3 linked regions of the Anolis sagrei genome follow. Each later gene encodes a partner of the first gene's protein in a complex. Links are inferred from orthologs where the notes say so. Each region holds a gene or a part of one and is shown in the gene's direction. Other genes may lie near its edges.

The links.
Region 2: CACNA1S (region 1) and CACNB1 share a complex: the UniProt entries of both Homo sapiens proteins name them as parts of the calcium channel complex. The link is inferred for Anolis sagrei from reciprocal best matches to the Homo sapiens genes CACNA1S and CACNB1.
Region 3: CACNA1S (region 1) and CACNG1 share a complex: the UniProt entries of both Homo sapiens proteins name them as parts of the calcium channel complex. The link is inferred for Anolis sagrei from reciprocal best matches to the Homo sapiens genes CACNA1S and CACNG1.

The regions. Positions count from the first base shown.
Region 1 is NC_090024.1:185,707,198-185,710,949, reverse strand, and holds the start of CACNA1S (voltage-dependent L-type calcium channel subunit alpha-1S), read left to right. Parts: upstream 1-1,443; 5' UTR 1,444-1,630; coding exon 1,631-1,794; intron 1,795-3,752. UniProt on the Homo sapiens protein: Pore-forming, alpha-1S subunit of the voltage-gated calcium channel that gives rise to L-type calcium currents in skeletal muscle.
Region 2 is NC_090026.1:43,881,178-43,884,929, forward strand, and holds the start of CACNB1 (voltage-dependent L-type calcium channel subunit beta-1), read left to right. Parts: upstream 1-1,517; 5' UTR 1,518-1,885; coding exon 1,886-1,972; intron 1,973-3,752. UniProt on the Homo sapiens protein: Regulatory subunit of L-type calcium channels. Regulates the activity of L-type calcium channels that contain CACNA1A as pore-forming subunit.
Region 3 is NC_090022.1:180,613,358-180,617,109, reverse strand, and holds the start of CACNG1 (voltage-dependent calcium channel gamma-1 subunit), read left to right. Parts: upstream 1-1,416; 5' UTR 1,417-1,758; coding exon 1,759-2,002; intron 2,003-3,752. UniProt on the Homo sapiens protein: Regulatory subunit of the voltage-gated calcium channel that gives rise to L-type calcium currents in skeletal muscle. Regulates channel inactivation kinetics.

The DNA.
Region 1 (3,752 bases):
AGGATCCCCTTAAAGAAGATGTGTGGGGGAGGGGGGGCGGGGGCGGGGCGGCGGATAGAACTAAACAGTAAACAATGGCAGAATAGAGCTAATCACTAAGAACTCTTTTTTGAGACAAATCAATCAGTTTAAATCTCAAGTTATTTTTATCATGTTTGTGAAGAAATGGCCTAAGCTTCCAGTTAGCACATTATGATTATTTTTGTCTAAGTAAGACATAGGACTTCCCTATGTGTAGATTTGAAGGCTACTTCCAGAGCCTCTGGATCTCAAGGCCTGGTCTTGTGTTTTAGATTTGACTGATATTCTATGATTCATGAAACAAGGGCGTGAAATTTTCGGGTGAGAAAGTTGTCTTTATATATAGTACGTCACATACATTCCACATTTCTTTGATTCTAAGATGCACTTTCTTTTCTGTATAAACAAGTCAAAAAAGTCTTAGAATTGCAGGTGCTTTTTGATATATCTAAATAATACTTTTTTGTTGGTGGTACTGGAATTAGTATGCTTCTTACAATTGATGGTGTCTTAAAACTGAAGAAATATTGTGTGTATGTGTGTGTATATATATTCATACATATATATATATATGTATATATGGTCTCCGTTACTGTGTGAAATCTTGACTGTTTCAAGACCATCGAAGTATATACCCGTATATACTTGAGTATAAGCCAACCAAATATAAGCCGAGACATCTAATTTTACCACAAAAAAGTGGGAAAACATATTGACTCGAGTATAAGCCAAGGGTGGGAAATGCAGCAGCTACTGGTAAATTTCAAAATAAAAATAGATACTAATAAAATTACATTAATTGAGGCATTAGTAGATTAAATGTTTTTGAATATTTACATAAAACTGTAATTTTAGATAAGACTATCCAACTCTAAACTATTATTCTAACCTTCTTCAATGTAAATGTGCTTTCATATCCTTCCAATACCAATAAAGAGAGTAAAATAATAAATGCAGTAATAATAATAATAGTAATAATAATAATAATAATAATAATAATAGTAATAATAATAATAACAGTAAAATAATAAATAACCCTGACTCGAGTATAAGCTTAGGGGGTGCTTTTCAGTCTCAGGGCTGAAAAACTCAGCTTATACTTGATTATATACGGTAATCCATACACTACTAATGTTGAAGTGGCTTTGATCCTGATAATACAGGCAGCAGCTACTCCTTTATAAATCTGTCAAACATGAATCAAAGTGAATTAAAATGTTCCTTTTCTAAGCGCTGATATGTGAAGCCCACCTCCCCACCCACATCCTTTCCCCTGACCTGGATTGGTAGCTCAAAAATGGCCATGGATTGAGAACGAAGAAGGAACAGCTGTTCCTTTTGCTGTCTCAGGAAATCTGACAGCCCTGGGAGCCAGGCTGGGGGCTAATTATAAACTCTGCGCTGGGTGTATTTGTGTCTGTGGGAATGTCATTCCCAGCCCCACATCCCACACCGCCTTGATAAGTTTGGCTCAGCAGGAAAGAGGTCCAGAGGGGGCTTCAGCCGCCCTTGTGCTGGGGAAGGGTGGGGGGCTGGTTGAAGAACAAAGGAGAGCCAAAGAAGGGGCAAGACAAGTCTGCCTGGAGTAAGCAACTGAAGGAGAGTGATCATGGAGGCCACTTTGGCCCAAGATGACAGCTTGAAGAAAAAGCAACAAAAGGAAAAAGCTAAGAAAGCAGCCCTGGAACTTCCTCCCAGGCCTCCTCGATCTCTCTTCTGCCTCACTCTCCAGAATCCAGTGCGCAAAGCCTGCATCGCTATTGTGGAATGGAAGTATCCTTCGGTGAAAACTATGGGGCTGGCTCTAGGCTGACGTGTATGTGCTATGGGCACCAGCTGAAACCAAAGGCAAAGGGCTGGGGAATATTTATTATCAATGAACCTCTCTTGTGAAAGATAAACCCTGAATATGATTTTCTCTTCTCTAGAAATGCTAGAAAGCCACTAAATTTTGGCATTTATGTCTGAGAGGAGAAGCAGGGAGATGAGGAGGGAAGGAAGGTATTTAAGAGAAAAGTACTGCATTGATCCAGTCTGAATTGGTAGGTGGACGTGAGTGTGATTTGGAAAAAAATACTGTAGCAGGAGTTATAGTCTTCTGTGGCCATTCATAGATTAAGAAACACTTGGAAATGTACAACTGTAGAATCCATTATGGTTCAAAAGGATATGTCATGGATTCCAAAAGAGATGCGTATGAGTACAGAATGAATGTTTACAGGTTATTTCATCTAGCTTCTCAACTTCAGTACATTGAATATAGATACAGCTTCTTCCCACTTTTTACATATCTTTGAGGAGTCTAATAACATTCAATTCAAGGGCCAATGCATTTTACTCTGTTGTGAAGATTAATTTTGCTTAAGAGTCAATATATTGCTTTATTTGATGTGAGGATATAATTTTCTCAAACTCAAAATGAGCTATCAAGCCTTCTTTGATAGCATGGAGCTTACCTTCCTACCATGTAATGTAATTATGTGGATTATGCTATGTCTTGTTCATTTATATTGATCTATAATTTATTGAATTGTCTTCAATTTGTTGAGTTCTTTATATATTATTGTGGGCATGGAATGTTTGTCATGGTGTATTTTGTTGTAAGTCGCCCTGACTCCCTTCGGGAAGATAGGGCAAGCTATAAATACAGTTTCATTTCATTTCATTTCATTGCTTGCTGGAGTAATCAGATTTTTAAAACAAGCTATTTCTGGAAATGTGCAGACCTGTCTCCTATGCGGTGGCTTTTTTTCTCCTGCTTTCTGCTTTTGACGTACTATAACTTGGACAAAATGGATTAATTTCTCCAAAGAGCTATTTTTGAAATCTTTTAAGTACTTCTGGGCTGAGAATGGGAGAAGAAGGTCAGGGCTTTGGATTAGGTGCTCTTCTTTATATGTTTCTGAGCCTAATGATTCTATGCTAAAGTTAGTGGCGTAAAAAAGATCATAACTGGAGTCAAGAAACCGATCATTCTTGTATAAGTCATAGAATAAAATAGAAATCCAGTTGTTATTTAATATTGGTTAAAGGATGGAAAATGTAGTGTTAAACTTTTCCCAATCATTTAGTGAAAAAACAATTGAGTTAGGACTGTGTACAGTAGGAAGAAGGCTTGTGTCTTTAAGCTAATTTATAATTTGAACAACAAAACAAATTACAGGTGATGCCAGCAGAAGCCCTATATACTTTGGGTCCAACCTATCCTTGAGACTGCATCTCCTACGAACCAGCGTGGGCACTAAGATCTGCTGGGAGGCCCTTCTTTTGGTCCCACCACCGGCACAAGTACGGTTGGTGGGGACGAGAGAGAGGGCCTTCTCAGTGGTGGCTCCTTGGCTCTGGAATAACCTAAAGAAATTAGATTAGCTCCCTCTCTTCAGGCCTTCTGGGTGAGTCTAAAACATGACTCTTCAGACAGGCCTTTGATCCTGAGTAATCCATGACCAATGTGATGAATCATTAATAGTACTGGCCCACACTTTGATTGATTGTTATGACATGTAGCCAGCTGGCAGGTTTCACTGTGTATTAGGAATGTTGTAATTTTCAAATTCTTATAATTTTATTAATGAGATTTTTATGTGCTGTTGATTATGTCATTGTATTTCTAGTTATATATTGTCGTCTGCATGTGGTGCTTGGAGTGCTTCTGTGAGCTGCCCTGAGTCCCTTTGGGGAGATGGTGGCAGGGTACAAATAAAGATGATGATGATGATGATCTCTCAGTT
Region 2 (3,752 bases), on another chromosome or scaffold:
CTGTCATTACTTGCAGCAATAGCCAATGTAGTTGTTCTGGTACAGCTTTATTTGCTTTGTATTAAATGTTTGCTTGCAGTCCTAGGTTTCAGGGACTCTGCAGAAAGGTGGCTTCTTTGGTTGCAGTCATAGGGCAAGTCACCTGTCCATCATCGTTAAATTTTGGTCCCGCCCCTTGCTCAGGGCAATTGGGAAGGGAAGGGAGCCATTTTTAGTTAGTCTCAGCAAAGTAAGCTTATATATAGGATGAGTGCAAGCTTCCCCTGTACAAAAGCTTCAACCCTTAAGACTTTCCAGGGGAGAAAGGTCTTAAGAGTCTCCAAAGAATTTCCAGGACCAAAGAACTCCAGCTGGAGAACATCTACTGCCTTGCTAGTAGGTCCACTCGGCGTTCGAGACGCAGTTCGACCCGGTAGCAGAGCCCACATCAGTAAGGGTTAGATTACAGTTAGCCTGGGAGAAGTTACGAAGGGGATTTTTCTTTAAAGAAGAAGTTATTGAAGACAGTTGCCTGTCCTTCGTGGGCAAGATTAGGAATTCACCAGTTGCCTAAAAGCTTGGAATCATTTGCTTAACTTTACTGAAGACAAGAGAAGTTTCTGTTTGATTGTTCATTAATAAAAGACTTTGTTGTACTTCTCAAGCCATCTAAAGATTAGGTTCTTGTGGGTTTTTTCGGGCTATAGAGCCATGTTCTAGAACATGGCTCTATAGCCCGAAAAAACCCACAAGAACCTAGTGATTCCAGCCATGAAAGCCTTCGACAATACATCTAAAGACTGTTTGTGGTGGAAACCTCTGAGAACTTCTCTTTAGGCCCCCTGGCTTCCCGCTGGGCAAAGGTTGCACATCCTGTTCTAAAGACAATTATTTACAGGCCCAATGCTCGACAGAACAGTACTGAAGCAACCAAGTTGGGGGGGGGGGGTGGAATGTTGAATGCTCTCATTAAGGAGGCCAGACTTGGTGGAGGTGGTTGACAAGGGCGGAGCTGCAGGCTATTGAAGGCTGCTCTGCCCCCTGCTGTGCTCTTTGCCCCCCCCCCTGCGAAATTTTCAACCCCCCCCCCCCAAATTTAAACCCCTCCCAAAAAATTTTTCTGGCTACGGGCCTCACTATAAATCCCAGCAACTACAACTCCCAAATGAAAAAATCAAATTTTTGAGTGAAAGACATACATTGGGTTGTTAGGTGTCTTGTGTCCAAATTTGGTGTCAATTTGTCCAGTGGTTTTTGAGTTCTGTTAATCCCACAAACAAACATTACATGTTTAATTATATGGATTCTTACTGGTATTAGGTACCATTTCCATATTAACTTATAATACTTTTTCCAAGCAGTCTTCAAAGGTTCTTCCTAATGTTCAGATTGAATCTCCTTTCTTGGAGTTTGAAGCCATTGTTTCAGAAGAAGGGCAGATAGGAGCAGCAGCAGGTGGATGCTGATAGGATGATGGCCTTGGAGGCTGCCCAGGAGGAGGGAGGATGGGAGGCTGGTTTGGGGCAACCCAAGTAAGGCTGGAGCCAGCCCTCCATCTCCCCTCCTCCTCCTGGGCAGCCCCTCCCTCCCATCTGCGCATCCCCCTTGGGCTCAGCCCACCCCACGCCCACCTTGCCTTCCCTCTCCCTTTGGCAACAGCAGCAGCAGCAACAGCCACCACCGCAGGAGCCTCTCCAGCCTTCCCTGCTGCTGCCAGGAATTGCCTTGCGCCCTCTCTTCTTCCTCCATCCCCGCCTTGGAGAGGGCAGCAGAAGCCATGCCGAGGCGACGGGCGTGAGGAAGGGGCTTGTGCCAGCCCCCGGGGGCGCCCCTTCCTCCCTCCCCGGCTTTGGCACCATGAGCCCGGCGTCGTGAGCGCAGGCGGCGGCGGGCAAGGGGCATCTCCATGGTGCAGGAGGGCGGCATGTCACGCACACCTTACAGCTCCAGCCAAGACATCCAGATGGAGGTCTTAGACAACCCTGGTCTCCAGGTGAGAAGGGGGGGGGGAGCAAGAGGGAGGGGGGAACTTTGGAGGTGGAAATATCACCTTCTGGAAAAGGATGGATGGGGAAAGAAGGGGCCAAAGGAATCAGGGAAGGGCTGATCTTCATCCACCCTTTTTCCCCTGGTTGAATTCGTCCCTGCTCGCCCACCCCTCCCTTGTTTCTCAACACGTACAGACAAGCAAGAGAGAGATGATGCTGGCAAGGCTTTTGCTTTGAGCCTCCCCAGTGATGAACAGCCATCTAAAGGGGTTAGGAAGTATTTGAAAGGCAACCTCAGAGGGATGTGGGATTCCTAGATTGGGGAGAAGGGAGGAGCAGCAACAGAGGCAGGAATGGCTGTTGAGTCTAGCAGTCCCTTTGATGCCTAGGGATTGCAACTTCCACAGAGAGAGCCCTTCTTCTCCCTTGGCACTAAGGAGAAGGGCTCTCTGGTGTCTAACTAACCTAACTAGGTTGTTGTGGTTTTTTTGGGCGATATGGACATGTTCTAGAAGCATGAACTATGATAAAATAATTTTTAAAAAATTTAAAAAAGAAATAAAATTAAATTTAAAAAAGAAGCATTCTCTCCTGACGTTTCGCCTGCAACTATGGCAAGCACCCTCAGAGGTTGTGAGGTGTTATCTGCTTTGATAATCTGGTTCTAGAAGCATGAACTATGATAAAATAATAAAAAATATATATCTAAAAGAAATTAAATTAAATTAAAAAAGAAGCATTCTCTCCTGATATTTCGCCTGCAACTATGGCAAGCATCCTCAGAGGTTGTGAGGTGTTATCTGCTTTGATAATCTGGTTCTAGAAGCGTGAACTATGATCATATATATATATATATATATATATATTAAATTTTAAAAAGAAGCATTCTCTCCTGACGTTTCGCCTGCAACTATGGCACGCATCCTCAGAGGTTGTGAGGTGTTATCTACTTTGATAATCTGGTTCTGGAAGCATGAACTATGATAAAATAATAAAAAATATATATTTAAAAATAAATACAATTAAATTTTTAAAAGAAGCATTCTCTCCTGACGTTTTGCCTGCAACTATGGCAAGCATCCTCAGAGGTTGTGAGGTGTTATCTACTTTGATAATCTGGTTCTAGAAGCATGAACTATGATAAAATAATAATTATATATATATTTAAAATAAATTAAATTAAATTTAAAAAGAAGCGTTCTCTCCTGACGTTTCACCTACAACTATGGCAAGCATCCTCAGAGGTTGTAGGGTGTTATCTACCTTGATAATCTGGATTATATGGCAGTATAGAAGGGGCCTTAGTGTGTCATACAGTCTGCCTTGTATTTCCCAACTAACCAAATGTCTTGTCGAAGGCTTTCATGGCTGGAATCACTGGGTTGCTGTATGTTTTTCGGGCTGTATGGCCACATTCCAGAAGCATTCTCTCCTGACGTTTCGCCTGCAACTATAACAGGCACCCTCAAACCTCACAACCTCTGAGGATGCTTTGTCGTAGATGCAGGCGAAACATCAGGAGAGAATGCTTCTAGAATATGGCAATATAGCCCGAAAAACCTACAGGAGGTTGCTTGCCATAGATGCAGGTGAAACGTCAGGAGAGAATGCTTCTAGAACATTGCATATAGCCCAAAAACCTACAGGAGGATGCTTGCCATAGATGCAGGTGAAACGTCAGGAGAGAATGCTTCTAGAACATGGCCATATAGCCTGAAGAATCTACAGGAGGATGCTTGCCATAGATGCATGCCAAACATCAGGAGAGAATGCTTCTAGAACATG
Region 3 (3,752 bases), on another chromosome or scaffold:
CCCACTTTACCATGACTGAGTCTGCATTCACCTCCTTCATAGTTATTTTTTATTATTTCAAAAACAATGGGGGAGGGGGGGGGGGACTAGAATTGGGAGGACTATGTAGAAAAGGATCTGTCACTACTTCTGTCCACTGAAGTGAACAGCAGATTTCCTTCAAGGACTGCGGGTAGGGAAGGGTTGTTACTGCAGTCTGAAATTGGGGAAGAACTAGACTTCCTTCCTAGTATAGTGTGGTCCTTGTTTTGAGTCCTGCTGTATTGCTTTTGAGCTGTGGTGTTGGAGGAAAGTTCTGAGAGTGCCTTGGACTGCGAGAAGATCCAACCAGTCCATCCTCCAGGAAATAAAGCCCGGCTGCTCATTGGAGGGAAGGATACTAGAGACAAAGTTGAAGTACTTTGGCCACATCATGAGGAGACAGCAAAGCCTGGAGAAGACAATTATGCTGGGGAAAGTAGAAGGTAAAAGGAAGAGGGGCCGACCAAGGGCATGATGGATGGATGGCATCCTTGAAGTGACTGGACTGACCTTGAAGGAGCTGGGGATGGTGACAGCTGACAGGGAGCTCTGGCGTGGGCTGGTCCATGAGGTCACGAAGACTCGGAGATGACTGAACAAATGAACAACAATAGCCCTGGGTTCTTATATCAGTTACAAAGCCATCTTTACCATCTTGGTTTATGCACAATCAGGCCCGTAGCCGGGGGGGGGGGGGGGACAACTTGAGGGGCTTCACCCCCCACCACCACCCCCAAATTCTCAGGGTAGTCCGCGAGAAGGCCTTACTGGTACATTATTTAAACTGTTATGTTTATGGGTTGTTGTAGGGTTTTTAGGGCTATATGGCCATGTTCTAGAGGCATTCTCTCCTGACGTTTCGCCTGCATCTATGGCAAGCATCCTCAGAGGTAATGAAGTGTGTTGGAACTAGGAAAATGGGTTTATAGGTCTGTGTTATGTTTATTCATATCATGATCTGATCACCATGCTCAATATATCCCATATGCATGGGGGTATTGGGATAGTGATACAAAAGGTTTGTTAGGGTAGATCCTCATCCCCCCCCCCCCCCCCGAATCAAACTCAGCCTTCCCCCCGAATCAAAATCCTGGCTACGGGCTTGTGCACAATGTATGGGGGAGAACCCCATGTGGTAACCAGGGGATTTCCAATACCATTCATTACTCTTAGTCCCTCCCTATGAATAGCAATAGCAAAATAAATTGTGTAACAAGAAGTGTGCACACCCAAACACACAAGCACAGATTGCTGAATTCAACCTTTTCTATTGCCTTATTTGGTCTGCTTGCACAGAGGTTTCCAGCATATGTGTTAGTATTTATAGCTTTCAGTTCATACATCTACACAACCCCCAGCCTGGTGCTTGCTATAGGGGTGGTTATTCATTCCCTTAAGTCCATTTTGCTCCAAGACAGCCTTTGGAATTCCCAGAGCAAATCCCGGCAGCCGTAATCTGAGCAGCCTATTCCTTCGCCCAAACTGTGCATTAATAGAAGCCTCACTCACAGCCCGACTGGTCATCTGATACATCTCAACAGCTGTAAGTGCTGCTGCTTGCCTCCCCCAACCCTCTCCTCGCTACTCCTCTTTGCCACTGCAGGGCTGACATTTGAACATGCTTAGATACGCCAAGACTTTGGAAGACAACTCAGATGACTTGCAGTGTTCCTTGTCACCAGCAGATTAATCCAGAACCGGCCTGCACTACTGCGTCTTGGCCTAAGCCTCCCAGCCATGACCGAAGGCAAGGCTTTGAAAGTCCGGGTGACTTTTACCATCATTTTGATAGGCATCGTCTTAATGTTCACAGCGGTGGTGACGGACCACTGGGCCGTGCTGAGTCCTAAGGTAGAAGAGTACAACGCTACCTGCGAGATGGCCCACTTTGGACTCTGGCGGATCTGTATAAAACGGATCTTCATGAAAGAAAATGAGACGGACAAAGAGCAGGGTTGTGGGCCATTAAGCCTGCCAGGAGGTAGGTGTCCCCATATAACCGCCTGACAATGCGCTGCAGAATACCTTAAAACAGCAAGGCAGCTTGAATGTGAGAGGGCATGCTGGGAGAATGGAAATGTCACTACCAATGCTGCTTTTGAGCTAGCCCAAAGCGATGTTCTTTTTTCACACTTCCCTGAGGATCTTTCTGCTTCCTTGGCATGTATTGTGTTAATGTTTGGTGCTGTCCTACTCTGAAGGGAAATGATGGGGGGAGGTGAAAAGCAAAGAGGAGACAGAAGACGAAATATGCTTTCTCTGGAGCCTTTGATCACAGGAGTGTCAACGAACCCCGCCTTGCCAAGTCTGACATAAATCTTTATCCGAATGGCAAGGGTGGGGGGAGATTGGCTTATATAACCCCTACAGTTTCAGATCACGTACTGCCAGCATTTCCATTAAATAGTGCTCCTGATTTGGATAATTATGTAAGCGGGGAGAAGAGGGGGGATACATCAAAATATAAAACTAGTTTATGGCCAAAAGCTACTCTGAAGAACTTTTAATTGCTTAAGATAATAGAGGACTGTCGGCAATGAGCCATTTCACTGCAACTAAAACATCTACAGGTACATCATAGCTAGAAGTAATCACATCTATGTACATCGTCATGTATGACAGTAGAAAGCAACACAGATAACAAAATCCCAGGAGTTGCTTACATGAGGAGTGCTGTAGTGATCTGGCATGTCTACTGTTGTTGCTTGACCTAGGACCAGGGGCGGCTCAACCATTACGCAAAGTAAGCCTTTGCAGTATAGTTGATTTTGCCCAGGGGCGCTCTTGAGGCGCTCTTGGGGGAAAATAGACCTTGACATATGCGAGTTGTAGTTACTGGGATATATAGTTCACCTACAATCAAAGAGCATTCTGAACTCCACCAATGATGGAATTGAACCAAATATGGCACACAGAACTCCCACAACAAACAGAAAATATATATCAGTGATTGGTTTTGGTTTTTTTTTGGGGGGGGGGGCAAAATACTGTTTGCTCACCGTTGAAAATTACCTAGGGCTGCCTCTGCCTAGGACCTCAACTTTATTACGCAGAGCCCCTCTTCAAGTAATGAAGTGATCAGATCAATAGGTCTGGGTGGTGGAGGTAGACTGTGGTTGTAAAAGCTGATTTTCTTGTTGCCTCTGTGCATTGGTTCAAGGTTTGAGTTGATCATGCACATGCATGTAGAAGTGACTGGCTCATATAGGCATATCGGTTCCACTCAGACTATTGATAAAGGCACATGTGTATGGGATAGTGTTGATCAACATACTCTCCCATCCTCTACCACAGTGGTTCTCAACCTGTGGGTCCCCAGGTGTTTTGGTCTACAACTCCCAGAAATCCTAGCCAGTTTACCAAAATAGCCAAGGCCAAAATAGCTGGTAAACTGGCTAGGATTTCTGGGAGTTCTAGACCAAAACATCTGGGGAGCCACAGATTGAGAACCATTGCTCTACCATGTGCTTTTCCTAACTTCTGTGCATTTAGGTTCCTGGGTTGGTCTCTGACAGGACTCTTCTGCTCCACTAGATCTGAACAGAGATATCCAGGCAGGTTGAATTGGGCTCCTTCCACACAGCTGTATAAAACCCACATTTAACTGATTATATGGCAGTATGGACTCAGATAACCCACTTCAAAGCAGATATTGTGGATTATCTGCCTTGATATTCTGGATTATATGGCTAGGTGGAAGGGTTCTAAGATATCTCAGGCCTCATGGGTTC